Notamacropus eugenii: one gene and its partner. The protein of the gene in region 1 purifies or fractionates together with the protein of each later gene. This does not show direct contact. Links are inferred from orthologs where the notes say so. Each region holds a gene or a part of one and is shown on either strand. Other genes may lie near its edges. The genes, in order: protein S100-A4 and PPFIBP1.

Region 1 (15,429 bases):
CCTTTCATATTTTGTTGTTGTTCAGTCATCCTTCAGTCATGTCCAATTCTTCGTGACCCCATTTGGGGTTTTCTTGGCAGAGACACTGGAGTGGTTTGCCATTTTCTCCTCCAGCTCATTTTACAGATGAGGAAACTAAGGTAAACAGGGTAAAGTGACTTGCCTAGGGTCATACATCTAGTAAGTGTCTGAGGCCAGATATGAATTCAGGAAGAGGAGTCTTTCTGACTCCAAGCTCAGTGCTCTATCCACTGTGCCCTGAGGCCTACACAGGTGAGATGATTTGCCTAAAGTCACAAAGATAGGAAGTCATAAGTTTTCTGACTCCAAATATAGTGTTCTCTAAGTCTTAAAGCACAAAAGAAATGTGTTATCATCTCCATATCTCCCAAGGAAACATAGCACTTGAAACATAGAACTGAGACAGGGGATATGGCTGAGTGTAAAAGATGCCTGGTACAGGTCAGAGTGGTATTTTGAAGGCTGACCATAGAACTGAAGTTTTCTAAAAGATATGATTGGTTTTTTTTGTTTGCTTTTTTCTAACCCTGCCATGACTTTATTAAAAGAAATGACAAATAGGGATCTTGGTATCAGAGACGGGAAAGGACATTATAGGGGATAAGGGTAGGTGTAGATTGTCATAAATTAGGGCTGAGTGCCAGGATGGGAGCCCAACTACCAAACAGGGTATCAGAATAGTCATTCCTACCTAAACTTAGGCAGGGTCTCTGGAATAGGGTAAAAAGATTTAGAGTGGGGCAAGATTGGGGAAGGGAGAAAAAAAGAGTTTGAATGTTGGAAGTCAGAGAGACAGCGGGCATGAGAAGTGGCTACCTTGATTAGTCCCTTGTTCCTCCCTTACCAGTCCTCTCCCTTTTCCCTTGGCCCTTCACTCTCAGGGGTGAGGCACCAGGACTAAAGAGGGAGACCAGGGATTGGTTGCTTGGTGATAGGAGTTTCCGAAGCACAGTTTAGAAACAGAATGATGCAAAAGGGTGGATTGGTGAGGCTCAGGAAGGATTGACCTGGGGCAACAGCAACTGTGGTGAATTAGTGAAGGAAGAAGTGAAGGAGTCACCCATAAACAAGGTGACAGGATCATAAGCCTTTATTGTTAAATCCTAAACAGTAAGGGAGGCCTCTGGAAAGACATACTAGGGTCACCCATCCTCCCACACTTAAGGGGAAAAAATTATAGCAAGGAAAAGGGAGAAATTTCTGAGAGATCTCCTCTGCTGTCCCCCAAATTTCAGGCAGGATAAATTTTAACCCAGGATCAGAAAGTTAAATTAAGGCCTCAGCTCCTTTTAACATCTTTTGGGTCCCCAAGTGATGTCCAATGGGCCTCATTTCTAGTCCTAATCCTTCACATGACAGTTAATGACTTTTTTATTTATAGCCTATAACCGTATTGTAATCATTCTTCAGCTCTTTCCCTATCTCAGCTGACTTCAAACTCAAGATTCCCTGTCTCTCCCCACCCTGTGATCTTCAGTTTCTTCATCTATAAAATGAGGAGATTGGACCAGACAATCTTTAAGGTTCCTTTGAGCCCCGGTGCCTATGATACTGTGAGACTAACTTGTTCAATTGGAAATTTTCCTCTGATTTCTTTTTATCCTCCCCTCTGACCTCTCGGTTGACCTCCCTCTCAGCTGGCACGCAATTCCAGGGTCTATTTCCAGAACAGACATCTCATCCCAAGACAATTTTCAGGAATGTTGTTTCACATCCCCTTCTAGTATCCCTTGGAACAGCCCTAACTCATGTCCCCTTCTGCTTTTGCTTTAGACAGGAAGGGGTTAAGTATTTCTGTGATTCAGACAACATGTGAGTGGAGGAAGGGGCAAGGCCAGTGATGTCGGCCAGGAACTAAGTAGACGAAAATTTTTACTTCCATCTCTCCCTTTCTATTCCAAATGAAAGCCCAAGGGCATGCTGAGAAGTAGCTGTCTTCAGCACACTTTCCCCTTCCCTACCCCACCCCCCAACCACGGTTTCTCCTGACTCCCAACATCCACCACCCCCAAGGACCCCTCAACAACATACCACACCAAGAACAGATGTGATGTTCAATATGACCTTGAGTTAGAAGAAGAATGGGGAAAGAGGGGGATGATGGCAATACAGGGGACTCAAGAGGGCAACATGTCTAATTTATGGTGGTTCTTCAGGACTGTGGTTTTTGATTTTTCAAGTCTCATCTCTATGTTCTCAAGGATTTTTCTGCCTCTTGTTGCTCGTCCCTATGCTACCCAAAATTTCTTAAGGGTGTTATGGAAAGAGCATCAAGACAGAAATGAGATAGAAAGAGTATTAAGCCAGGAATTTTGTCTGGACTCCAAAAGGGTCTGGACCAAGTGATCTCTGAAGGTCCTTCTTCACTCTAGCACCCTATGAATCTATAAACCATTCTGTGTCTCAGTCTTCAACTGTAAAGTGAATGAGATGATCTAAAAGATCCACCTCAGCTTTCACCGTCTGTGAATCTATCTCACCGGTGCCAATGAACTACATGCATTTCCGGCACCAGTTTCCCCAAGACTCCTCCTTTCAAATTCCTCCTCCCCAAGCCCTGCCACTGACAACTCACATCAGCATTCCCCCAACTTTTAAAAGCCCCTAAAGTCAGAGAGACTATGCAGGTCTCTGCCTCTCCACTCTCTTTATTGGGTAACCACGTCACTGACCCACCCACTATCCACCAAAATGACTCCCCAAACACCAGTGGACATTCTTGCAATAAACCTTTATTAGCTCTACTCAGTGACCTGGGTGTGCTCCAGCATCACCCAGGATGGTAAAATGGGCCCACCTCAGGGCTCCATGAGAATACTGTGACCCTATAGCTTCTCCCCAGATCCCCCCTCCCCCAGGAGCTTCCCCTTTTTCCCTCTCCCCTTTCCCAGCATCACCGCTGCTCCCCTTTATTTCTTCCGGGGCATCTTGTCAGCATAGCCCTCGAAGAATTCATTGAACATCATGGCAATGCAGGACAGGAAGACTGCATACTCCTGGAAGTCCACCTCATTGTCCCTGTTGTTGTCCAGGTTGCTCATGAGCTTCTGAAAGGCAGCTTCATCTGTCTTTTTCTGGAAGAGGAGAAAGGAGACAAGATGTGGTGTGACAACTCCCCAAAACGGAGCCCACCACCTCATCAGCGGAGCATAGTGTCCTGGATTTACGGCAACAAGGGACTTCAAAGGCCACTCAATCCAACCCCCTTCTTTTACAATAGGAAGAAGAGAAGGGAACATGCATTTATGAAGTGCCTACTATGTGCCAGGAACTTTACAAATATTAAATTCATTTGATTCTCACAACAATCCCGGGAGGTAGATGCCGGTATGATTCCCTTTTTACAGTTGAGGAAATTGAGGCAGACAGAGATTAAGTGCCTTGCCCAGGGTCACATAGCTAAGAAGTATATGAGGCTTGAACTTGCTTCTTCCTGACTCCAGGTTAAGTGCATTTTTAGATGCATAAAATTAAATACACACTATTACCAACTATACTTAAATATAAAAATAAAATCATATAACATGAAATATTAAAATATAATATATAAATATAATAGCATAGCTCACCAACCCCAGGTTAAGAACCTTTCTTCTACAATAATTAGCTATAATAGTTAATATGATAATTATAATAAATGAGAATATGTGGTCAACAGGCGTCTCGAGTGGCAGGAGAGCTGGAGGCAGGAGCTGATCTATGGATTCCACAGCACACATACACACTACTCACCCCCAAGAAGTTAGGGAGTTCCCGAGTCACCAGCTCCTTCAGCTCTGTTTTGTTGAGCTTGAACTTGTCTCCCTCCTTCCCAGAGTACTTGTGGAAAGTGGACACCATCACATCCAGAGCCTTTTCCAGAGGGCTTGCCATGATACTGTCCTAAGGGGCACCTAGGAGGGAGCAAGTGAAGACACCTTTGATTTGGGACAGAGTGGATGTGGGATTGTGTTGGACTACTTCAAGAATGGGTGATGTCATCCATGTGGGAACCTCCCTCCTCTGATGAGTTCAGTACCACCAACACGAATAGTGAGTGATTCCTATAGAAATAGAACTGAAACCCACATCTTTCTAGCCCAGAATAAGCTTCTGAAAACCCAATGATGGAGTGAGAAGTCAGAAAAATGCCCTCAAATCAGCACCTTTTTTTAAGAAAAATCATTTGGAAGGTTAGAGGAAGGGAAATGAAATCTAGGAAAAAACCCAATTTTTCCATTTTAACTCATTATTCTTCTTATTGAGGTTCTAGACTCAGTTGTTCATATTCATCTGGAGGACTTGAGGCAATGCCTGGGATGCCCCACCCTAGACAGGGCTCCCTGTATAGACAACCTATTATTCCTTAAGTGATCACGATGGATCATGTTAGGGCACTGCTAAGGCAGTCCAAAAAGCATGGTAAACTGGCTGCTGCTCTTCCAGAGGTGAACCTTCCAAATTTAACTGGCTTGGATAACAAGACGAAGTGGAAAGTACCCTGGATCTGGAACCACAGGATCTGGATTTGAATTCTGGTTTATTACCCATGTGACTATGAACAACTTGCTTCCTTTCTCTGGGCAGAGATAAGAAGCCTTAGTGCTCATCTGTCTAGTTGCAGCCATTCCCTGACTATGGACTTTGAGTAATTGCAGTGACTCAAAATAAAGAATATATTATCAATACATGATAATATATATAAATATGTAATAAATAAGTAAAATAAAAATCTCACACATCTTACTATTTTTTGATTATAGTAGGTGCATTCAAAAGTGTTACTGAATTTTTGTTGTTATTCTGAGTCAACTTATGCTAATTTTTCTATTTTCCCTATATTTTCTATATATTCTATATTTTTACTATAATGAGGTGGGAGGGGAGGATCTAGAAATTTTTTTACATTAAAAAGTGTCTACCTACTCAAAGAAGTTGGGAACCACTAAATCTAGACTGAGCTCCTCACTTTATAGATCCAAAACCAGCATAAATGTCAGCATTCCACCCCATCCTCTGAACCCTTCACCCTGGGACCATCAGGGTCCCAGCTCCTCCCTTCAAGACAGGACGATTCTGGACACCTCCCTAGAGAGCTGACTTCTGGGCTCCTCTCAGAGTAAAGCATGAATGGGGCAGGATTCACCACCCTGAGGGCACGAACCGACAGGACAGAGAAACTAGCCCTGGCCCAAGCAGGGTCAGACAATAAAGAGAAGAGGCCCTCCAAAGAAGGCCAAATAGTCCTTAGACTCAGGACTGACAATTCATACTGCAGCCCCTACTATAGTTATGCCTGAGGGAGCACAAAAAGATTGAAGAATGCCGAACCCCACCCTGCCTCAGTTTCCCCATATAGGAGGTTCAGGGAAGCTCTCTTGGTTGGCAGCCTCTTATGTGAGGAAACTGAAGCAGAGTGGGGCCCAGATCTTCCGATGCCTCCCTGCCAGGCACACTGCACCTCTTCAGAGAAAATCTGCCACTGCATCCAGTTAAGTTTAGAACACATTAAAGGTCATTTTTTAAACCAGTCCTCTGTCCCCACCTCCCTGCACAAAACTGTTGCCCTGAAGTTTCCTCTCTAGTTTCTTTCGCCTGCCTAGTCGCCCTAGGAAGTTGTTTCTGCAATGCCTGCCCCACCCTAGGCTCCTCTCAGTGCCCAGTACCACAACAACAAGCTAGCAATGGTAATCTCCAGCTCGGTTTTTCCACCACTCATTCACTCACACTCACACATTCCCCAAAGCTTAGCCCTCCCCAGCCCATTCTTCTGCTCTGTGCACAGGAGTGGGCGGTTGCTTCTGGAGACAGGCCCTGGGACTGACAATGGAAAAAAACAGTCAAGCAGAGGGGAGGGTGAGTTAGGAAGGAGAGGAGGGGGAGGAGAAGTGGACAGAGGGGGAGCTATTCCCCTGCTCGGGAGAGAGATCAGAAGTGAGGTTTCTACACAGCCACTACACAGCTCCACATGTACATATGTACATGCATGAAACATGACTACATGCTGCTGACACAGATGCACTCTCCAGGTGCAGAGATGTAATATGCAACATGCATACAGCATCCAAGTCAGATGGTCTTGCAATCTTTCCCCCACTGGGACACTCCTCCACCCCACCCTGGCATCTCTCTACAACTCAAACCTGAAACACCTACCCCTCTTCACCACTCCTTCCTCAGAGTCTTTCTGTAGGATCCTCACATCTGGATCTACTTCCTACATCTGGCCCCCACTCAGCCTCCTCTGTCTACCAGGCCCTAGGGTCCTGTCACCCACATCCCCGGCCAAGTCAACCACAACTCACCAAACCAACCAGAGAAGAAATGCAGAGAGGGGAGAGAGAGAGGGACACAGTGGGGAGGGCTGAGCCAGGGCCTATTTATACCCCCAGCCAAACCCTGCCTGTGGCAAGGGGCGGAGGGGAGCTGGGACACCCCCTCCCTGATGCTGGGTCAGAGAAGACCAATAGCAAGGCCTCTTCCACCTCCTAGCTCACGTTGGCTGGTGGGTGAGCAAAGCTTACACAAGATGAGGCACTAATACAGGGATAGTTTTCAGGGACTACTCCCCCCCATCAGAGAGAGAGAGAACCCTGAAAATAGAGCCAGACAGCGCCCACAGGCCTTGAGCCCCCAATCTGAAGGAGTAGGTAGAGCCCCAACCCCACTTTGTAGGAGGGGCTACAATAAGAGGGGGGTATGCAGTCTTTGTTAAGTTGTAGGGGAAAGGGGAGGGGAGAGCATGAGGATGGAAAATTCCTACAAAACTAAGAATCTTCTAGAACAGAAGGAAGAAAGACCCAGGGCACAGGACTGATCTGGTGTGAGAGAGGGGGCCACTTAGTCCCTTTGCCTCATGGGGAGCAGGGCTCTGCTGAGGGTGTGGCTCTCCTAGACATAGCAGGATATATGTGTGAAGGATATGGAAGTGGATGCCAGGCTAACTCCAGAGAAAAAGACTTGGAGAATGCTTGGGAAATACTCCATGGAAAGAAAAACATCTCCAAGTACTGTTATCCTCTGGAGTTTGTGGCTGAGTGCCCAGAAGGAGTCCAAGTGTAGGGACGAAGGAAGGAAGGGGAACACATGAGTGTGTAGGATGGGGCTGATTGTCAGGATTGGGGTGGGGGGTGCACCCATGTGCATCTGGAATGAATCAGAACAGGGAGGGAAGGACACATGAGTGCCCAGAATGAGACCCGAGAAGGTGAAGAGGGACACAAATCGAGGGAAAGAGTACACATGAGAGTGTATATGGGGGTGAGGTGGGGGTGCCAGAATAAAGGGGGACACATGAACCTATGGGATACGGGACACTTGGATGTTGAGGATGGCATCCTAAGGTTACATATCAGGAGATGAGAGTAGGGATAAAATATCTTCAAAGGTTTGCTAATCAGTTATCAGACCAAGGCACAGGGGTATCTCTCCCAGATGCTGTCCCCTTACTCTGGACTGGGGTTGGGAGAGGTATACCAGAAAACGAGAAGAAAACAGGCCATCAGCTTTAATCCTATTAGTGCCGCCATTTCAGCCCTGGCGGCTCCCCACAGCCCCAGGCTAGAAATGGGCAGCCCCACCCAGGCCCCACCCTCCACTTCACTGGTGCTCTGTTGTGGAAGCACTGTTACCCAGTGGCCCTCCTGAACCCGGATTTGAGACGTGCTTCACCTCTCCCTATCACAGCCTCCCTCTCCAGCCCACCACCAGTATTTCTCTCTCAAAGACCCCCAGAGAGGAAAAGCCTGTAGTTCAGGAGCTGTTAACTTTTATTTTGGTGCCATGGACCCCTTTGCCAGTCTGATGAAGTTTTCTTCAGAATAATATTCAAATGATTGAGAGAGTTGCTAAATTTCATTTAGAGGTTAGTGAAAATAAAGATGTAATTTTTTTCCCCCATTCACTAGACCCCCTTGAAATTTGACCCCCTGCTCTAGATGTTCAGAGGGCACTCCCTTCATCCAATGTGTATACTCTCCATTTTCAAATCTAACCACAAATCTCTTGCAGCAGTTTCAAAACCACTCCCTCTTCTTCCTGATCCTCCTTCCTCTAGAGATGGTGAGACTAGCTGAGAACATAAAGCCTCTTCTCCCAACTAGTAATATCAACAAGTTCTCCAAGTACCCCCTCAGTTTTTATTCACAGGACTCAGGGAATCCCAGTTCCTTAGGAGGATGGCTGGAATTTGAGGTATTAGACAAAACAGTTGGGTCTCAGTAACAAAGAAGCCCAGCCCAGCCCTATTCCATTCCCTTTTAAGAATAACCAAACCACCGCAAAGGGAGCTGGAACAACAGCCATTTTTATTGAGAGATCATTCACACTGGTGAGCACATGAACAATGAAAAGAATTTCATCCCTAGTACCTCATTCCTACTAACCCCACCATCTCTCTATGTCTTCTCTTTACCTCCCCAAAGTACTTTCTTAGTGTATTCTTGAATTAGAATAGAATACCACAGACCCAAGGAGAAGGACAAAAGGAAGCAAAAGAGCTGGAAGAGGAGAAGGGAAATTTCCTAAGGGTCCTAAATCAAACTGAAAACTGAGACAGATTAAGGAATGTCTAGATTAGGAGACCTCATCCATTATGTAGTACAAGGATCCTCAAAGGAGAACCTGGCTTTCCACAGAGCAGACAAGTGACCGTTCAATCTCTCCAAGACAACTTCCAGGTAGAAGGGACATAACACCAAGGTTACAGCTCTATCCCAAGCATCAATTCACTTTATCTCCCCCCATCCCTGACCCATCCCACTTATGGAGTTACTAAGGACAAGGAGGGTTAGGGGGACAATCCCGGAAGTATTCATGGCAGTAGATGCAGAGACAGGCCAGGGCTCGGACGTACTCAGTGAAATCCACTTCACAGTCCTTGTTTGTATCCAATGCACTCATGAGAGTATTGTAGTCACACTCTCGGAGCCTCGTCTGGGAAATGTAGAAGAGAGTAAGAAGAAAGACTGAGACAGGAAGAACTTCTTGGCTTTCTCAAATCAGTGCCATGACATAATAGAAGGAGCACTGGATTAGACATCGAGAGACCTGGGTCCCTCAGCTTTATCCCCTGAGCCCCTGTGTGACCCTGGGCAAATCATTTTTATCAGGTGTCTCTCAGACTGATGATGGTCTGTTTAATCTACATTGTACAGAAAGACTACATCTCATTGTCAGGAAGTCCTTTCTGGGCTCCAGTTTAGTGCTTGAACAAGGCATTTATATACCCTAGTCAGGATGTCCCTCATATTTGAAAATGGCCCCCAGAGGTATGGCTAGCCACTGAAGGCTTTAAGAATTACACTGTAAAGTCCCCCATGCTGTCACAAAAAAGACTATATTTTCTGATATTAAAAAAATGTAGACTGCTAAAATTTTATTTTTAAAAATATCCTTCATTCTGTTCCATCATTTATTATCATTAATTAATAATCACCTCACATCTATATAGCACTTGAAAGGTTTAAAGTTCTTTCCTTACAACTGTGATGACAAATTCCATAGAAATGGATCCCAGAGGGCCACGTGTTTACTTAGAATACCACAAATTAACATTATCTATATTGTATTATATTTTTATTTATTTTGTTAATCATTCCTCAATTACATTTCAATCTGGTGTGTGCTACACTTGCTAGTTTTATGGGATGCTTGCATCCTTAGCTACAAGTTCCACCCCTCTGTTGTAAAACACTCTTCGAAGTAGGTAACACATTTACTTTCAAAGGGCATTTCATCACAATGTACTTTCTCTGATAATGATGTTTTCTATGCTATGCTAAATCATAATGGCAACTCCTACTTTGGAGTTTCAGCTCACACATAATGAATTTTATTCCAGCTTTTCTTTTGAATAAACTTATGAGTCTGTAGGCTTCGGTGCTAAGTGTCAGCGCTGGGATCAGAGCCTGCCTCTCCTGACTCCCAATTCAGCGATCTGTAAAACATGGATCTTGCCTCCTACTCCCCACTCCCATCACATCCCATTCCACTCTGCTCGAGATTGCCAGCTCAAGAAATGATAACTCATGAAATATAAAAGCTCACACCACCCCATCTTCACCATGACCCCTGACGGCCTTTTACCGGGGCTAAGGTGGGCAACTCCTTTAGCAGCAATTCTTTCAGCTCACATTGGGAGAGTTTGAATTTGTCCCCGGAACGCGCTGAATACTGCTGGAAGGTATCCACGATGGCAGCCAATGCTTCCTCCAAGGTTGATGGCATGGTCACTTGGGGAAGGAGGACACAATTATTCTCCAGCTAGGGCATATGAATGCATATCATGTCATGAGATACAGCAAACATTTATTAAGCAAAAACCATTTGCTAAGACATTAAAGAAGGTACACAGGGTAGATACCGCATGGACCCTGCCATCATGATGTTCACCATTTAGGAAAAGGATAACAACATTAGCACAAACTCTTAAAGTATAACTACAAACCAAATATACCACATTCCCAAATACTTTAGAAAGTTAGAAATCCTCATTTCCACCTACAATGCCATAAGCTCTAAAAGGAAAGAAACAGTATCTGAATCATCTCTCCATCTCCCCCAGATGGCTATGAAAGAATCAAGGTCAAGGGCAGTACCCTCGAGTTTCTCCTTGGCACATACCCCCCTCAGCCTCTACCCTCTCCTATAGGGTCTGTCATCCTGCAGGTGACTCCCTAATGTCTGCTTTCACTTTGGTTTGAAGTTCTATTCACATGGCCCTCCCTTCTCATCCAAATTCCTTCAGAACCAAGCTCAAATACTTCCATGAAGTCTTCCTTAGCATGGCAGAATGGAGAACACCAACTTTGGAGTCATAACCTGGGTTTACATCTTGCCTGTCATTTACTGCTGATGTAACCTTGGACAAGTCCTTTAACCACTCTGAGTCTCAATTTCTTTATTTTTAAAATGAGGATTTTGACTAGATGGTTTCTAAAAATCCAATTTTAAACCTAGAAATCTATGAACCTATGTAGTTAAATAAACTTATCAGCTGACAAGTAGCAGGCAGAGATAGGAAGTAGATTAGACTTATTTTCTCTTATATGTTTTATAATAACTTCGACAAAAGTATACCAACTTTGCAAAGAGTACTAAGGTGGGAGTTAATAGTTAATATGTGAGAGCAGAGGTGTCAAACACACAGCTTAGGATCACCTGAGGTCCACAAATGCTCTCAAATGTGGCCTGAACCAAATTAAAATGTAATTGGATGGGTAGAGGCAGCCTTGGAGTCAGAAGGGCCTGAGTTCAAATCCAGCCTCAGGCATTTACTAGCCCTGTGACCCTGGGCAAGTCACTTAACCTCATTTGCCTTAAAAAATATGTAATTGGGAAATATTTAACAAAATAGATAAAAATATGGTAAGACATAAATAATGTTAATAGAGAATTTTCTAAGTTAATATATGGCCCACAGGGATCCTTAATGCATGATTTATTGACCCCTTTTCTATTTGAGTTTGACACCAATGTGTCAGATGACAGGATTGGGATCCAGTGAGATCCAGGCAGACTGGAACTATGAGGTAATGGAGGGTTTCAGGCAGAAGTCAGATGACTATTGAAAATCAGAGAGTCAGAAATGAAAGGAATCTAATCTAAACTCTTATCACAGGTGTTATAGAAGGGATTACTGCTCAGGTAGGCATGGACCTAAATGACTTCTGAGGCTTCTTCCAGCTCAGTTTCCATGATTCTGTGATCTCTTTGCCTCTCCTTTCAGATTCTGTTCTCCCTCAGGATTCTCCTGCCTACCCTCATGGCCTTAGCACTTATAAAGGGGATTGGCCCATGGCTTTGGGGGACTGACCGTATTAGAGACCTTAACCCTTTGATTGTTCAGTCGTTTCAGTCATGTCTAACTCTGTGACCCCATTTAGGATTTTCTTGGCAAAGACACTGGAGTAGTTTGTCATTTCTTTCTCTAGCTCATTTAACAGATGAGGAAATTGAGGCCAACAAGGTTAAGTGATTTGCCCAGGGTCACATAGCTAGGAAGTATCTGAGACCAGATTTGAACTCATAAAGATGAGTCTTTCTGACTCCAGGCCCTAAGTCCTCCAAATCTGGCAGTTTTTCCCTTGTGAAGACCCTATTCCAACAGGAGCCCCATAGCACCCATCTATCTCCCCAGGGACTCCCTGAAAAGAGAAGGGATGATCAAAGGGGGCACTGTTTCACTTTTGCATTTCACCCTCAGGTCCTTAGAATAATAGCTGAGGAATGAGCAAGAATTAGGAATGCTAAGGATTCCCAAAGTCTGCTCTTTTTTTCATTATTCTCTTTCCAGCCTCATGAAAGGCAGGATAGTGCAGTGAAAAGCTCCTCATATAGGGCAGCTAAGCTGAGGTTCTAGTCTTCCTCCCTCTGCTCTCTTGGGCAAGTCACAACCTTCCTTGGTCTCAGCTACCTCATCTCTGAATTATGAATAATGACACTTTACCTGCCAAAATGTGGGATATTAGAACAGACCTTCTAAGGTCCCTTCTAGACCTAAGATACCCCTTCAGAGCCCATACCCCATGGGGGAACCATCCTTCTGACCTGAGCAGTTTGGAGGGAGTCTTGGGAAATGGGTTCCTGCATGGGACCACCCTTCCCCGACCATATTAAGGGATGGCTTCCCCAACTGGGAAATCCTTTGGGGGATAACCATTTCACCAATCCCAGGACAGGAAACCCCCAAACCAGCCAAGAAAGTAGTAGTCATTTCCATTCATATAAGGTGACTCATACTCTGCTCCCTAAGGGGAAGAGAGATTTCTCTGATAAACAGCCTAGCATAAGCCTTCTCGCCCAGTCCTAATCTGGCCCATTTGCTGACTTCTGCGGAAAGGACTGTTAGTGATAACCATTTAATATCATTTTTGGACTTTAATAAGGACCAAAGCCTAAACTAATCAATCAGACTGCATTGCTTTGCTCTAAAAATGCCCTTTCCTGTGTCAGCAACTTCAAAGATCTGTTTATGAAAGGATTCCTGCAATCAGAGTGGTGGCATTCTTCTTATCTTGGTATCACAGAGATATATGACATATATGGGAAACCCAGATATTCTGATATCATAAATTCCAATTGATACTACTTTGTCAAATGTCCTGTCTCACTGTGTTTACAACTTATTCAATTAAGAAAATTCCTATCTTATGATATAGTTAAACACATATAGAGACCATAAATCTGAAGACACAGACATCCTGGGATTGTCCTAAAACACATTTAACCTGATCATTCTTTCATCAGTCAGAACTTAGGTTTTGGTTCTTTGTACAAGTTTCCTAGCTTAGACTAGCTTAAAGGGAATAAACAACGTGCATTAACATATCGCTCAGCCTGTTTGCCTCCTTTAACCAAATTTTCAGGTCAACCCTAGAAGGCTGTAACCAGGGCTAGGTAGGAGCAGGGGCTTTCTGAAAGCTCTGACTGTTGTCTGCAGATGGGGGATGTCCTAGAATGTAGAGGAAAGGCAGAGTTGGAAGGGGACAGGAGGGTGAGCCTCAGAGATTGCTTGGGCCAGCCTTATCCCCTTAGGCCAACTTCTCTAAGCTTTAGCCAGGGAGTTCATAGATTTATCTCAACTTATCCCTGAGCTCTCCCCTAACCAAACAGGGAAAGAAAGCAGAGGGAGCTATCTGAAGGCAACTGCTGTCTCTGGATACTGGCCACCAAACCCAAGTCTTTTTTCACAGCTATCCTCACTATACCCTGAGATCTCCAATATGATCAATAAATATTAATTAAGTGTTTGATATGTACCAGGAAGCCTGAAAAGTGATATGTCATAGTGGGTATAGCCAGAAAGACCTGAGTTCAATACCTATCTCAGACACATCCTGGCTGTGTGACCCTGGGTCACATCTCAGTGTTCTATGCATTTCTCCAAGACTAGAAGGTGCATTCCCTATGTCAGTGAAATCACAGATCCAGTGTCTGCCCCCTTCCTGATCCCTATTTCTACATGTCTGGTACTATGCCAGGTCCAGAGAATACAAAGACAAAACCTAAAACATTTCCTGATCTCAAAGAGCTTACTTTCTATCAGGTAAGCCTGGACAGCTGTTCTCTGAGACCACCCTTTTCATATACCCAACCCCTTCTCCAACTTTGTCCCTGTTAGGACATTGCTCTCCCTCCCCATCCTACATTTCATGGAATCCCTTGTCCACAATTAAGGGTCTGGTGGTAGTATGGAGAAAGAATCCTCCACAAACCATCTGACCTCACTCCCAACCCAGAACACTTACCAGTAGGCTAGCTTCTCAGTTGTGATAGCCCATGGACAGGGGGTATCCCTTTTTGTAGGCTCCTGCCTGGGAAAGAAGGCAATTACAGGTGGCCAGACTAGCAAGGATAGTGTTTAGGGATTCCCCTCAGGGGCACCTTTTATTAGAGACTCAGCACCTCTTCCCTGGCTGCCCTCACACATCAAAGAGCTCATTCTGCTTCCCTCAGCATCATCCATTCTTGAGTTATCATTGAGCATCCAATTCTCCCCACTTCCTACTTTGCTCAGATCCCATGGAATCATCAAGTTTGGCCACCTTCTTCAGTACATGGTCTCTCTCCACTGGAGAGCTCCCTCTCCTACATCTATTTCCCCACCCCCAGGGAGGGTTAGCCTATAGAACCCAAGAGAGGTCACAGTTGGAGTTCAGTTCCATAGCAATCCATGGGACCTATGCTCCCCAACCAACTTCATCCCTAAGACCCACAAATCTCATGCATAAGCATTCATTCCATTACAAAGTATATTCTGAGCACAAGGACTGGAGTGGGGATGGTGCTTTTCAATTTCTTTTGTTTGGCTTAGCTTAGCCTAGCACATAGTGAGTGCTTAATAAATGCTCATTGACCAAATAAAGAATAGGTCAGGTATAATGGCACACCCTGGGAAAGTATTCCTATGACTTCATGCCACTCTCACTCCCCTGCCTCAGGAGCCAAAAAGAATGTTTCCCATCATACAGAAGAAACCAAGGTCCAATGTGGGTCAGAAAGTTGATTTCCAGAGATATTCCAGCATAGTGTAGGAGGACAAGGAGGACTGGGGGAGAATCTAGAGTCCCACAGCTAGGAGGAAACTCTAATCCTAGAGGAGCCAGACAAACTAATGATACCTTGACCTCATCCACAGCTCCAGGCCCCAAACCCTTCCCTGTGTTATCATCTCCTTGAAGCTAAAACCACCCCGGAAGTAGTAGAAGGAGGGGCAGAAGAGAGAAAGGGAACAGCTGATTATCTCTGTTTTATAGCTGAGGAAACCTTGGGGAGAGGGGGAAGTCCTCGGCAAAGGAGGAAGTCAGACTAACTCAATCCTAGACCTACGTTTGTTCAGTTTAAGGTAACCCTGGTTCTGACACTAGAGATTGTTCTTCAGCCTCAGACGGGTTGTGCCTCAGTTCCTTCACTAGTAAAGTGAGTATA
Region 2 (15,458 bases), on another chromosome or scaffold:
AGTTTGTCTTCTAAGTTCCAACCTGTTTTATTCTCTGTTCATGCAACCAGTAATTCTATCTCAGTCTTCCCTGAGGAAAATAAGGGCCCAGCTGGTGGGACGTGAGGTATAGCACCTATGTTCTCCTCCCAAAACACCCTGATATCTGGGAATAGTTTCTTTTTCTTCATGTTCTTGACTTTTTTTAAAAGCTAAGTCCTTTTCCCATTTTGCTTTGCTTACCACTACCTAACCCAGGGGTAGGAGGCCATGTGTGTCATTCCAAGTCCTTGGACACAGCCTTTGGACTGAGCGCAAGTTTTACAGAACAAATCCTTGTATTACAGGAACGTGTTCTGTGAAGTTAGGTCTTAACCCCTACCTGTTTTCCTTTTGGCCTGTGTTCTCACCCATTTCTGGCATGATCCGTTACCCAGTATTCTTGTGTCAGCTAAGCAATGGTATAATGTACCATATGTGTTTTTGTGGAGGAAGCGGAAGGGAAGGAGTTATTCAAAGCACAAATCCTTTCTATTACCTTATTCTTTACAACAATAAAGAATGTATGTATATATGTATCTATCTCTCTATATAATGTATATACACACACATACTGTATATATAAACATATGTGAATGTAGATTTCCATTGTTGGCAACAAGCAAGTACACTTCACACAGATTCTTTATATGCCTTATATCATGGCTGTGAATATTCTATTAAAGAGTAAAAAAGACATTATGAGTTGCCATCATTATTGAAAGTAATAGTATTGGTGACATAAGTATTTATGGATATGGCCCATTTATTTATTGCCATATATCAATATTATGGCAAGTTTCTAGAGGGCAGAGACAGTGGGGGTTTTTTTATTTGCTTTTTGCTCTTATACAAATATTTTTTAAGCACTTGTGAGCAAGCCACTGTGACAGGACTAAGATAATACTGAAATAAAGATGTGGACTCTGTACAACACCCAAGTCAGAACCCCATGCAGGGAGATTTGTTTTTATTCTAGATCAGGCCTAACAGTTCCATTTGTTAGGAAACTCTTGTAGGCCCACTTCTCTGTAGAGGAATATCATGGTCCTGAGGGTAATGCAAAAATGTGGCCTTCTGAAGCACCTGGGACAGAAGAAGTAAGGGGGCATGGGTTCCAGTTCTGGCTCTACCATTTGTATGACATTGGCAAGTCATTTAAGTTTTCTGATTCTTAGTTTGTTAACCCATCAGTTAAGGAAAATAATACCTGACCAACCTACCTCATGGAGCCATTGCAAAGTTCAAATGACATGATGGATTATGGAATCACTTTCAAAAGTAGAAAATGCTGTAAAAATGCCAGGGTCATTTTTATGTACTAAATAAAGCCACTCCTTGATCCCATGTTTCCTACCCAGGAATACCCTGGAAATAAAAGAGCCCCCAGGAGCATATTAGCATCAGTACTCTTTACCTCAACTGCTTCAGTCATCTGAATATATAATGAACTTACCAGCCATATAGAATAGAAATGTACTTTGGGTTTTTTTCCCACTGATACTAAATTAGTGCCTGACAAAAGGGTGGAGTTAAGGGCTCAAGTTCTTTTTACTAAGTTAGAAATAGCACAAGCAGTAATTAGGCCAGTGTTCCCCACACCTCCAGTCTTACACTACCTGAAATGTCTCTCAGATTAGAAATAGGAAAGAAATAGAAAGCTGCTACAAATGGAAAGTTTTTCCTACCCCATTTGAAAAACAGGAATTTGTTTGTAAGGGTTGGGCTTGAGATGTATAAGTATTTCTTGTTCTAGTTTTATTTCTAGTGAAATTTGAGTATTCTTTTTCATATCTTTGTTTGTATTTTATGGATGTTGACTATTCATCCAAGTAGATATTATGGGTTTGAGGGGGGTGGAGTTGGGTCATTTTTAATAACTTGTCAAATTTCTCTATACCTCCATGATGTGTTAGTCTTAAAAGAAAAGGGAATTTTTGCTATTTAACTCCATGGAGTCAAGAGATTGAAGGAACTTCAAAGATAGTTCTGCTGTCTTATGCTTTGACTCTTCAAGGATTTCTTCAGGTTTTTAGTTTTTCACTTTAAAGCTTGACATTTAAAATTGTGCTCCCCCTCTTTGCACCATCCAACAACACATTTAACTGGGCTCTAAGCTTGGTTTTACCACTGAGTCGCTATGTGATCTTACTCCTCTGTGCCCTAATTTCAATTGGAGGTAGTATTTGTATGGAGAAACTTCTGTTTACCACAACTACGTGTCATTTGTGAAGCTCAAAGGGATAGGCCCAAATAGCTACCCTTAAACTTTTACAAATTCTCACAGACTCATAGAGACATAGAGTTTTAAAGATGGAAATGTCATTAGTCACAAAATCATTCTAATGTTTTCACTAGGGAAAAAAATCCAACAACCTAGGATAATCCCCTTTTTAAAATTGATACCCAGAAAGGAGAGTTTATTACCCAAAGCTGAACAACTAATTAATGGTATCACTGAAAGAGGAAGAAAACTTTATAGCCTGGCTATGTTGTCAGCCCACATCCCTATTCAATGTTTCAGGACTTCCCTATTTGAAAAGACTCAACTAACTTCATTCATGAATCCAACACTTTATCTCCATCTTGTCTGAAGAATTTACGTGTCATCCAAGTCTGCTTACTTAAGATATTGTGTGCCATCTCATTATAATGACTACATCTATTTCAAGTCATATCAGAACTCCTCCACCTAGCACAGATTAATAAACTTTTACTTAATTCGATGTATATTAAAATCCATGTGAATTCAGTAACCCTGACAGAACCCTCTAAAATAGCTATTCTCAAAGTGTGGTCTTTGGGCCCCCTGATAAAGTCAAACTATTTTCATAATGATCCTAAGACATTGTTTACCTATTAAAATAATCCTCCTCTTTCTAACTGCATGTGTGTGTGATGCCGAATTTTCTCCATATACTTCACAGCCAAAACAACACAGATTGAATGCAAAAGCAGGTATGAGAATCCAATTGTTTTTCATTAAGACAGGCATTAAAGGGGTTTGCAAAAATATATAAAACAATTCTTCTCACTAAATTTTTTAAGAAAATTTTTTAGAAAGTAGCTATTTTTTATAAAAATTATGCTAACATGGAATGAGTTTATAATTACTTTTAAATTAATACATAAATATTAAAAATTTTTGACAATTTTAATTTCTAATATAGTAAATATCAATAGATGCAACCCACAACCAAAAGCTTTTCAGTAATTTTTTTCAGTAAGAAATATTTCTTTACTGCAAACTTCATGCAAATCACTTTACTAGGCAATTATAAAATATAAAATTTAGTTAAAATAGATTATAAGCTCCTTGATTGCATTTATTGTTACATTTTTGTGTATATACATAGTAGGCACTTAATAAATGCTGATTAATTGATAAATTATCCTTTACCTCACAGAACTTATATCTTACTATAAGATACAACAGACAGAATGGTGTGTGTGTGTGTATATATATATATATATATATATATTTTGCACTCAATAGTATTTTTTTCACTTACATATAAAGATAGTTTTCAACATTCATTTTTGTAAGACTTTGAGTTTCAGATTTTTCTCCCTCCCTTCCTTCCTTCCCTCAGCCCCAAGACAGCAAGTAATCTGATATAGGTTATACATGTACAGTCTTGTTAAACATATTTCTGCTTTAGTCATGTTGTGAAAGAAGAATCAGAACGCAAAGGAAAAGCTATGAAAAATGGGGGAAAAGTGAAAATGATATGCTTCATTGCATTCAGACTCCATAGGTCTTTCTCTGGATATGAATAGCATTTTCCATGACTAAGTCTTTTGGATTCATTTTGAACCATTATATTGCTGAGAAGAGCTAACTAAGGCTATCATAGTTGATCATTGCACAATGTTGCTGTTACTATGCACAGTGTTCTCCTGGTTCTGCTCACTTCACTTAGCATCAGTTCATTTAAGTCTTTTCAGCTTTTTCTGAAATGTGCTCATCATTTCTTATAGCACAATAGTATTCTTACAACACAGTACAGTATTCATATGTCACAGGTGGTTCAGCCATTCCCCGATTGATCAATATCCCTTCAGTTTCCAATTTTTTTGCCACCACAAAGGGAATAGTATAACAAGGGTTAGAACGCAAAGTGCTGTGTGAGTCCTTGAGGGGAGATCGTTACCATCCGAGGGATCAGAGATATCTTTACCAGATGTACTTTATAAAATGAGTAGGAATTAAGCAGTCAAAGGAAAGGCATTCTAAGTGTAGAGAATAACATGGACAAAAAGCAAGGAGATGTGAGAATGCAGAATATGTCCCAGGGCCAGAAAGCTTTTCCATTTGGTTGGAGTATAGATTACATAATGATATCCTGAAAGCAGTAGGAGATGGGAGCCTAGAGAGCAGAAGACAGATAAGCAGTGGAGATAAAGATTTGAGAGCCATTTTTATAGAGGTGACAGTTAAAACTGGGGGGAGTTATTTTCCAGAAAGAGAATATAGAGAAAGAAGAGAATGAAGGACAGAGCTCTGACAACCAGCCACCTTACCAGAACTAGGAAGGGGAGCCATTCCTGGAGTCATTAGAGAGGGAGGGAGAGAACATGGGGCATGTGATATTTGTAACTTCAGAGTGGATACTCGATGAAGTAATCACCAGCATCAGAAACCACAGAGGGGTGAAGGAGAGTAGGGATTGGAAAGAGATCATTGGACTTGATGATTACATTGATGACCTTAGAGAAAGCAATTTCAGTGGAGTGGTTCAAGTGCCAGTTCAACTTGCAGTGATTTGGGAGGGTAGCAAGAAAATGGAGGCATTCTATAAGACAACTTAAGAAAAACTACCTCTACCAGCTTATACAACATTCACTGCCTGTAGTTAGTCTACCACCTCTATACCAAGAGGAGAAGGTTCATTCCACCTAAAACCCTGATTAGTCATTGCTTTTAATCTGATTTCTAATTGTAGATGACTTTTCTAGAAATTTATTAATGAAGGGGAAGAAAAGATTGGAGGAATAGCAGCTGGATGATTTAGAATGTTCAGCAGAGGCACTCTAGAATTGTGGAGAACTAAGCATATTTGCAGACAGTTGGGAAAGAATCATTGGTGAAGGACAGACTGAAAATGCATGAGAGTGAGAGAGGAGATGATGCCTTGAGCAAAAATCCAGAAGATGGGAGTGGAAAGGAAAAGCATAGGTGGCATGAAACATCTAGTTGGAGTAGTGAGCAAAGTGCTGGACCTTAGAGTCAGGAAGATTGAGTTCAGATCCTATCTCAGATACCAGTTCTGTGACCCAGGACAACTCATTCAACCTCTGTCTGTCCTAGTCTCTTCATCTGTAAAATAGGGGCTACAATAGCACCTACCCTCCAAGGTTGTTCTAAGGATAAAATCAATCTCTGCAAAGAACTTTGCAAACAAGGCACCACATTGAGGCACTAGTCATTACACTTAGGGAGAAGAGGCACTTAGGAGAGAGGCATAAGGTTTGAGGAATAGAAAAAGGGAAATAAAGCAACTTGCAGAAGGTGAACTCATTTTTCTAAGAAAAGTAGGAGGTTTAAGTCATCTGTTATAGGTGTGGGGATAATAATATCATTGGTAGCAAGAAATGAGAAGATGTTTGGCTTTTGGGGAAGCCTTTACCCCCAAAAGGTATAGTTCAAAAAAGAAAAGGGAAGGAACTATCAACAACTCTATGAAAAATGCTTTCAAATCACAAATAGTGAAAGAAATGTAGACCAGAGCAACTCTAGAAGGTTCATCTCACAGCCTTCAAGTTGGTAAAAATAATTAGACAGAAATTAGTCAGTGCTGGAGGGGCTGTGAGAAGGCAGGCACACTAAAACACCGTTGTTGATGTGAATTGGTCCAACCATTCTGGAAATCAATTTGCAGTTGTGTAAGAAAAGACAGTACATTGTTTGTATCCATATATGACCCAAGTTGGCCAAAGAAAAGGGACACAGGTCCCATTTATTAATGAAGAATTCATAGCAGCCCTTTTTGTGGTAGCGGAAAACTGGAAGCCAAATGGATACCCATCAAGTGGAGAGTGATTGAATAAATTGTTGTACATGAATGCATGGAATATTATTACAACACAGGAAGTGGTGATAGGGAGAATTCAGAGAAAATTTGGATGACTTGTTGAAAAAATGAAGTGAAAATAAAATAAATGTAAAAATTATGACTAAAATAATGCAAATGAAAATACCAGGAGATATCAGAATGCAAATTAAATGCAATGATTCTGATTCCAGAAAATTGATGAAACATTCTCCCTATCAGATGCTTTTGCTGGGACACTTTATCTTTCTTGGCTGCTTTTCTTTGTTACAAGGAAAGGTTCAATGGGGCAGAATTGTAGGAATACACAGGGATATAAAAAATACAAAAAAAAAAATATTACTATAGCATTTTTTAAAAGTGTTACTCCCCAATAGGTTAGTGCTGAAAAAACTATGAGTATATAGTTCTCAAAATAACTATAAACTGTTAACAACAGTATGAAAGAAAATTCGAAGTCACTAATAATAAGGGAAATGCAAATCAAAACAACTCTGAGGTTTCTCTTCATGCCCAGCAAACTGGAAAAGATGGCAGAAAGATAGAAACAGGCAAAGTTAGGGTGCTTGTGGAAAAACAGGCACATAATGCAGGAATTGTGAATTAGTGCAAGCATTCTGGGGGAAAAGATTGGAATGATGCAAAACATGTTACTTAACTGTTACCCTTTGACTCAGAGGTCCCACTAGTAGGCATATACCTTAAGGTAATTAATGACAAAAAATTCTCAGTGATTTTTAAGAGTATAAAGGGATCGTCAAATTAAAATGTTTGAGAACTGATGCCCTAAAACAGGGGTGAGCAAATTAATGCTCAGCCCAGAAAGAGGGACAAGTTCTACCACCTGTTTTTAGACTGCCTTAGAGCTACACATGGTTTTTATATTTTAAAATAGTTTTATTGCATTTTAAAATGTGAAAAGTTGGGTGGTTGGCTAGTTTTGGACTAGATTGTGGACTCTTGCCCAAAAATGTTAAAAATACTTAATAGTTCTATATGTTACCAACTAGACTGAGATGTTGTGTATAGCCTAGTGAATAGAATGCTGGACTGGTCAAGAAGACCTAAATTCAAATTCTGTTACAGACCTGGGCTCTGTATGACAGGGCAAGTCACTTAACCTTTTTCAGCTTCAGTTTCCTTATTTGGAAAATGGAGCAATAAGAGCTTCTGCCTCACAAGGTCAACTATTACTAGTAAAGCAGTACTAATAAGAGTCATCTGTGTCTCCTCCTGAATCTGATCATTATACTTGCAAATAGCATGTGGTCTTTAATAAATATTTATTGAATGAACAAGTGAATAAATGACCTCAGGACTTCTCCCTTAGCATAGAGACTTGAAAACTGAAATCGTAATTTGTCAAGGAGGCGTTGATACTTTTCTGAGTGCAGTTAATAACCCCATCATTTTTTTTTGTTGTTTCAGATCCAGATTTGACTTCATTCCCCACTTGAGAAACTAGAAAAATGATGAGTGATGCCAGCGATATGCTGGCAGCTGCTTTGGAGCAGATGGATGGTATCATAGCAGGTAAGATCAGTCTCCAGCTTCTAAAATCCAGACTCAGTGATGAGTTGTTCCTGTGAAGGAGGAGATTATATTGGTTTGATCAGTTTCATCACACCCTCATAGTAGCTTATCTTGGACATATCAACTCCCATCGCTAAATCTCAGTTTTCCCATATATATGTAAATATGTATATGGGGGTTGGAAAATATCAGTTCCCTTCTTGCTTCCAAATCTTATAATTGATTGATTGACCATTGCAAAGTAGTGTCCATTTGTGGACACTAAGAGGGATTTTGAAAATCTAGAAGAGTTGTTTAGAGGAACGTGTCACAGTGGTGAGATGCATGAGGCAGCCATGCCCTATGAGAAACAGTTAAAGGAAATGAGAATGTTTGGTCTGTAGAAGAGGAGACTTGGGGAAAGAAGGAATGTGATAACTGCCTTAGAACATTTGAAGGGCTGTCTGTCGTATGGAAGGATCAGAGTCAGACTTAGTACACTAGAACAATGACTGGTTCTTTGACTTTTTGGTCTTAGGGCCCCCTTTACGCTCTTTAAAATTATTGAGATCCTCGCCTGCCCAATGAGCTTTTGTGTATGTCGGCTATATCTATCAGTAGTTTCTTGTTAGAGAAAAGAACTTAAATATATTGTATAAAATATTATTATAATGATAGTTTTGACTTCAGCGACTTCCAAGAGCTCCCAAGATCACACTTTGAGAACCAGTTTTAGAATCAGTTCTTCATCAGTTCTAGAATCAGTAGATGAAAATTAAGAGAAGATAGATTTCAGATCAAATTGAACAGTAGTAATCACTCATATTTCTCCAATGTTTTTAAGTTTTTTGCAAAATTGCACTCTCACAGTCTTGTAAAGCAGGCAGTATGAAGATTATTATTATTCTACAGATAAAAAAGCCAAGAGGTTCAGTCCCTGGGTTATAGAGGTAGTTATTGTTGGAATTAGAATGCAAGCTCTGTTCTTCTAACTCTTAAGATCAGTATTTTCTTTATTACATCATGTTTTCCCCAAGTCCAGTTGGACTTTGTTATGGACTCTCTATTCTGTAATTGTGGAATCTCTCTTTGGGGCTGTTTGGCCTCAGAAGTTATTTAGCAATGTTACCATTTCAATACCATACTTATTTCCCCCGTCCCAGAGAATGGCAAATGTCCTTGCTTCATAAAACTTCCTCTGGTGTATCTGGCTGGGTCAGAGGAGGTGTGTATCCCACAGCATCTCCAATTCAGGCTAGGCCTTCATTTTTCTTACTCTCTGCTAGTGAGGAAGAAAGAACTATTTTCTTCAGTGAGCTTTTGAATCTCCTTTTCCATTTGGCTAATTCTGCTTTTGAAAGCATTCTTCTCCTCATTGGCTTTTTGAACCTCTTTTGCCAATTGAGTTAGGCTAGTTTTCAAGGTGTTATTTTCTTCAACATTTTTTTGGGTCTCCTTTAGCAGGGAGCTGATTTGCTGTTCATGCTTTGACTTCATGTCTCTCATTTCTCTTCCCAGCTTTTCCTCCACCTCTCTAACTTGATTTTCAAAATTCTTTTTGAGCTCTTCCATGGCCTGTGCCCATTGAGTGGGCTGGGACACAGAAGCCTTGATTTCTGTGTCTTTGCCTGATGGTAAGCATTGTTCTTCCTCATCAGAAAGGAAGGGAGGAAATGCCTGTTCACCAAGAAAGTAACCTTCTATAGTCTTATTTCTTTTCCCTTTTCTGGGCATTTTCCCAGCCAGTGACTTGACCTCTGAATATTTTTCTAGTGAGGAAACAATATAAAAATGCATTAACTGAGTATAAATCTTTTTGGTGGTGAGCTTTTAGAACTCTGCAGATGTTCTAGGTAAACTACATCCAAAGCATTCTCTCATCTACTATCAAAAAAAGAAATCTGATCAGTTTGGCATGGCTTGTTCTCTATAAAATTGTGTTGGTTCTTTGTAATTACTGCTTTCCTATCTAGATATTCAACAATCATCTCTTTATCTGATCTAGAATTTGACCAGGAAGTGAAGTTAAACTCATCGTCCAAAATTCTGGAGGGTCTGTTCTCCAATATTTTTTAGGCTAGAAGGACTACATTGGGACAACATTTGCCAGTCTCTCCAAACTTATGAACCACTGTTCTAGAGGATACTTCTAGCTTTCCATGATCTTTCAAATATTACTGACAGTAGTGTAGTTTTTGTGTCTGTCAATTTTTTTTTTTTTTTTTAGAACCTGTGGATGGAGTACATCTGGGTCAGGTGATTTGAATTCATCAAGGAAAATTAACTCTCTCCTTATTTATTATAAGTGTCAGCTCAGTGTTAGTAATTTTATAAATAAATTACCTAGGTTAGATTTATAGGACAGTAGATGTTTATTTGATATGAGAAAAAATTTCCCAACAATTAATGTTTGTTGGGGCTATAGTGGAATGAGCTCTCCTGAGAGATAATAAGTGCCCCATCAGTGAAAGTACTCAAGTCAAGACTGGATAGCTACTTATTGGGTCTGTGGTGTGGGGATTTCTATATCAGATTGAGAAGAGATAGATGATAGATTACACAGAGATGAACTCTGAAGTCTTTTCCAACGCTGACATTTTCATTGCCTTATTAGAAATTTATTATTTGCTAAACTGCCTGTCTCAGGGAGTATGGCACCATGGTGGTATTTACAGTATCTAATTGCTTTAGCTCATGAGTTTCACAGCAATTCTGATAAAATGGTTTCCCAGCAAGGCCATAAATATAGCTTTTCTTTTGGCTTTATAAGAACTGGATTTATGTAAACTTCATTGCTTTCATTTCACTTTTTCTAGGCTCTAAAGCCCTGGAATATTCCAATGGGATTTTTGATTGTCAATCTCCAACCTCCCCATTCATGGGGAGCTTGCGAGCCTTGCATCTGGTGGAAGATCTTCGTGGCTTATTAGAAATGATGGAAACGGATGAGAAGGAAGGATTGAGATGTCAAGTCCCTGATTCAACTGCAGAAACTCTGATTGAATGGCTTCAGAGTCAAATGGTAGGGTACTTGTATTTTAATTTAGAATCTTTTATGATCTCAGTAATGGGGAACTTGGCTGATTTCATTTAAAAATTTTTAGAGACCTTTGTTTAGCAGCCTCACTATATTGTTTTCCCACCACTTAGCAGACTCTCTTGAGTTTCTTTTACCTATAATAATAATTTATCATTGTAATAGCTGCATTTCACTAATACCAACAAGCCATTAGATCTCATATATAAAATTCCTATGACCAGACTCTAGCAGAGTGATTGAATAGTTTTTATAATTATATAATATTTGAGAAGATAAGGATTTTTGAGGTTCAAAGATTTGAGAATTAAGTAAAATTTTGCTAAAAGTCAATACATGTTAGAAGATTCATGGTGAGGAAACTTTGCTTAGAAATGTTTCATTTATTGATGGTTTTAGTGTTCTAAGCACCATTGCCATATATCAGTAAACCCGCTAAGGTCTGAATGTCTGTCAAACATGTAAGTTGCAAAGAACCCAGGAAAGACGTAAATCAAAATAGAAAAGATACATGGCATTTACTTTTATTGACATGATAAAACTTCCTAAAAGTTTAAAAAATATTTTTATATATTCATATATTTAATTTTTATTTATTTATTCTTAAATATTTATTGAATTTGTTAATTTTTTAAATTAACTATATTTATTTTAGGTTTTGTTTATTTATTTTTAAATACTTAAATTTCAACATGATAAAACTTCCTAAAAGATTTGATTTTTAAATATCAATAAAAAATTAGGTATACTCTATAAAAATTGGATTTTTAAATGTCAAAATTTTAAATGTTTAAATATCAAATACTGGAGATTACAGCCTTTCTGGTGCAGCTGAATTAGGAAGTGGCATGATGGATCTGGTTTATGACCACATCTGCAGATCAGCATAGGACAGGAAATCACACTGGTCACATTGCAATGACATGTCCACCTGGCTGTGAGTCAGTTTTACTCCTATTCCCCACTGATTCAGTGATGTCACTAAGGCTGTGGGCTTTAGCAGGACTAACTGTTCTTGAGATGAGGATGTTTACATGAAATGTAACTAGAACTGTACAGAATAGGGAGTTTCCATTTGACCCTCAGGGTTCAAAAAATAAACTATTATAATTTCCATAATAATAATATAAATTGCTGCTGGATTATGTTAATTCTGTATTGTAATGATCTAAATACCACTTAGCATCTGTTGAGTCTTATAACTGTATTTTCCATTACCTGTGAGCAGGAAACATTGAATTCAAACTTTTTTGGTGGTGGATGCTGCAGCCATATAGCCTCTACCCAATGATCCTTATTCTTTACTGAGTCTTTGAATTAAACAGATTGATTAAGCTACTTGGGGCTTTTCAAGTTTACTGAAACATCATCAATCTACCAAACTCCTTCTCAGGAACCTAATATGCCAACATGGTTAGAGGAGCCAAACATGTTTTATGTAAAACATTTACCAGCAGCCTGCCTGATATGAATAGCAAGCGATTAATAGGTATGACTGTAGCTTTGTCTGATACCAAAAAAGCCACATCACCACACCCGGCATTCTTAGCACATCACACTGAATGAAAAAGAACATTTGTCTGTTATTAAAGCAGCTGCCATTTGGGGGCCCCAAGTTGTTTACTTGTCTGATTCCTCATAGTCACCTACTGCATGACATTTTTACATCAAACTCAGGCATGTTAAATTCAGGTAAGGAAACCTAGAATGATTATATAAAATTTTAGAGTAGTTAGACTCATTATGATCTTACATTTTTCTCCCTTGTTCCTGTTATGCATCTTGTTGTATGACTTTGGGAAATTCTGCCCAATCTATCCTACAATTTCTTTAACAGTAAAGTGAGACTAATACTCGTTATGCTTCACTAGTATATGTTTGGAGCATATATAAGAACTTCTTAGAGTACTCAGAACATCTTAGATTGCATAAATTCTAGAAAATGTGACTATAAAATAAATTGACATTTCAAGTATGTTTTAGGTATTTTGTTATTTTCTCTGTCGTGAGAATAATTTCTACTTACTAGCAGTAATTGGTAGTGACATGAAAAGGCAGCTATCAATAGCCATGGAAATAGTACTTATTAGTTATTATGTGTGTGTATGTGTGTAATGGGGGTAATCAGACTTGTGATTTCATCAGTGTAGGGAAGTTAAGTAATTTGCCCAAAAGCAAGTAGATAATATATGACAGTATTAAAACTTGAAAGCATATCCTTCTGATTTCCAGACTAGCCCTTCTCCATTATGCCATGCTGCATCTTAGGTATACTCTATAAAACTCTTAAGTACACATATCATTCTGTGTGAAGCCAGCAATGATTAATTTCCTGTTTGGATCTGGAAATTGACTACTTTCCTAATCCTTATTCAAAAATGAGTTCTGTGCCAACACTTAGAAGTTCTATGGCAATCCTTTAATTCATGACAAAAATTACTACCACTTGTTCATTTAAATTTTCTTTTTGCCCCTTTTTCCAAAAAAAAGATTTCTTTCACTTTCTTCCTTATCCGTCTTCTCTTTCTTTGTACTTTAGAACCTCATTCTCTGATTCATCATGCCTATAATCATCTGGTCTCTCTTTTCTCTGTATTATTCATACACTCAAAGTTTCTGAGGTATCCATTCAAGACTTTTCTTTCTAGGTACTTTTTGTCACTGCCTTTTAGGACTTATCCCATGGAATCCTTTCTTCCATTGTGTCTCATTCTCAGAACAATGTTAATTATTGTAAATGTAGAAAGGTCACTACCCTATATTAAGTCCTTTCCCCCCACTATTGATCTATACCCTCTCTTGTTGAACTGTTTTCTACATTTGCTTGGAAATCCCTCTGTGTCCATGCCCTTCTACTCCTCCAGGGGCTAGTTGCCCCCTGGGGTTCCAACTTTCCCCCTCCCAGGACAAGTAGACTTTTCAGGCACCAAGTCCCACAGGTCTCCAGTGCAAAGTCCTTATCTCCTTTCACGTGTAAGAGTATTCCCTAGTGAAACCTCTCCCACTTCCAAAGTAAGACCTCCTTTCTTCCCCTGTCCAATAATTTCTTCATCTTCTCCACTGCCCTAAGACTGCAGAGGTCACCTTCTTCTCATTCATTGCTAGCCCTTGATTTGACCTAGCGTATAATACAATCCTCTATCCTCCTGCTCCCCTCCCCTTCCCTTTCACTTACCTTCCCGTGTTGTAATGTTGTCCCACAAAAGAAACCTTTACCTGTAGGTGGGGTATCACTAGGCGCTATCCAAACTGCCTCCATCTGCCTCTTCACCATTACCTCTGTCAGATTTCTGCTTTCACCCCTTAGCTCTTCATGTACATTTAGAAACAAGTTTCTGTAGTCCCTGTGTTGCTGTTGCTGTCCTTGCCTGCTGCGTTTATTCACTCCCATATTTCCTTTCCCTCTGAAGTATCCCCTTGATTCTTGAAAGTTTGTGCAATTGTGAAAGACATAATAGAATTGGGTTCTTGTTTTGTTTTCAAAGGCACCATCATTTCATGTAAATATGCTTTAAATGGTGTAAAATGAAGAATTCTAGTTAATTTCCCTCTACAGGGTCATAAAAACATCTCTTTGTTCTGTCATTGTATATGCAGGAATCCCTTATGAGTCGTTGATAGACTAGAACTGCTAGCAGAAATGTTGAGAGTAGTGAATGGTCCATGCTGGCAGTGTAGCCACTATATGCACTCTGTAAGACTATTAGTCTTGTGTTTGTTATGTATTGTTCTCGGGATCAACAGTATCTTCTTTCTCCATTCATATCCAACATTCTTTTTTGAAAAACTCAGTCTTTTCTGGTCTTCAAAATGAGAATGAAAGCTCTGTTGGCCACTGATCTGTAGATGTCCTTGGTTATTACAGAGTGGAAGCTGGCATCCTTAGTGTGTTTATTTATATAGATGGTGATAAATTTCCCTACCTCCTTCAGCTTTCTGAAAAGAAGGATAATTTCCTCAGGGCATAAGAAATAAGATAAAAATCTTTCTTACTGACTCCATTTGAAGAAGTTGGTAGTGAACCAGATGGGTTTTTTTTTTTTTAACAGATAAATATGATGAAAGCTATTTTTAAAATTTCATGTTTGAGAGTTTAGGGTAGTTCTATTTATTGGCCTTCAATGTATGCTTATTTAATCAAGCATTAATCTTCAGAGAGATCATTTTAATTATTTGAATTTCCTTTCTATTTAAAAATTCTTTATTAAACTTTTTTCATATTAATTTGTTTTGCAGAAAGCAAGGCTATTTATTGAGTAAAAAGGACTTTAGCTTTATTTATATAACAATTTTTTAAAAAATGAGTACTATAATCAATTTCAAGAACTTATGTTTGAAGTGCCAATATTTCCATTTTACAGGCCAGGTTTACTGCCACAGTTTTAAAAAAAAAATTCCTTTGAAATTTTTAGGATACTGGGAATAAAAATTCCTCTTCCAGATGCCTTGAAGTTCTTTTTGTATGACCTTCTTGATTCAACTGATTACAATGGAAATCTTTCATCTAACCTTTCAATGAAGACATTCCATTTGATTCCAATGATTTCATTGACCTTTATGCCATCATGAGAATATAGCCATCCTGCCACATGCAAGAATCATCTTTTCCATATTTGTTCCTTTAGCTCTGCTCAGGACTACCATGACTTTTGCAATAAAACAGAAATTTTTAACCTTCTTGTGTCAGGGACCCTTTTGACATTCTGGGGAAACTATGAACACCTTCTCAAAATAATGTTTTTTTTTGAAATTCATAATTGAAGAAAATGCTAAACTTTATAAGTGAATATATAAAATAAAGATGGTATTTTTTCCTTATCCAGGTTCACAGCCCCCAC

Evidence for each region.
Region 2: the proteins of protein S100-A4 (region 1) and PPFIBP1 purify together in Homo sapiens (co-immunoprecipitation; 3 studies listed by BioGRID and IntAct, with this or other methods). This does not show direct contact. The link is inferred for Notamacropus eugenii from reciprocal best matches to the Homo sapiens genes S100A4 and PPFIBP1.

The regions. Positions count from the first base shown.
Region 1 is NC_092873.1:377,520,746-377,536,174, forward strand, and holds protein S100-A4, read right to left. Parts: upstream 6,527-15,429; 5' UTR 6,306-6,526; intron 3,915-6,305; 5' UTR 3,895-3,914; coding exon 3,754-3,894; intron 3,096-3,753; coding exon 2,931-3,095; 3' UTR 2,738-2,930; downstream 1-2,737. Other genes in the region: S100A3 (protein S100-A3), read right to left, coding at 8,773-8,934, 10,087-10,227. UniProt on the Homo sapiens protein: Calcium-binding protein that plays a role in various cellular processes including motility, angiogenesis, cell differentiation, apoptosis, and autophagy.
Region 2 is NC_092874.1:218,737,523-218,752,980, reverse strand, and holds the start of PPFIBP1 (liprin-beta-1), read left to right. Parts: upstream 1-7,499; 5' UTR 7,500-7,540; coding exon 7,541-7,604; intron 7,605-10,399; coding exon 10,400-10,605; intron 10,606-15,458. UniProt on the Homo sapiens protein: May regulate the disassembly of focal adhesions. Did not bind receptor-like tyrosine phosphatases type 2A.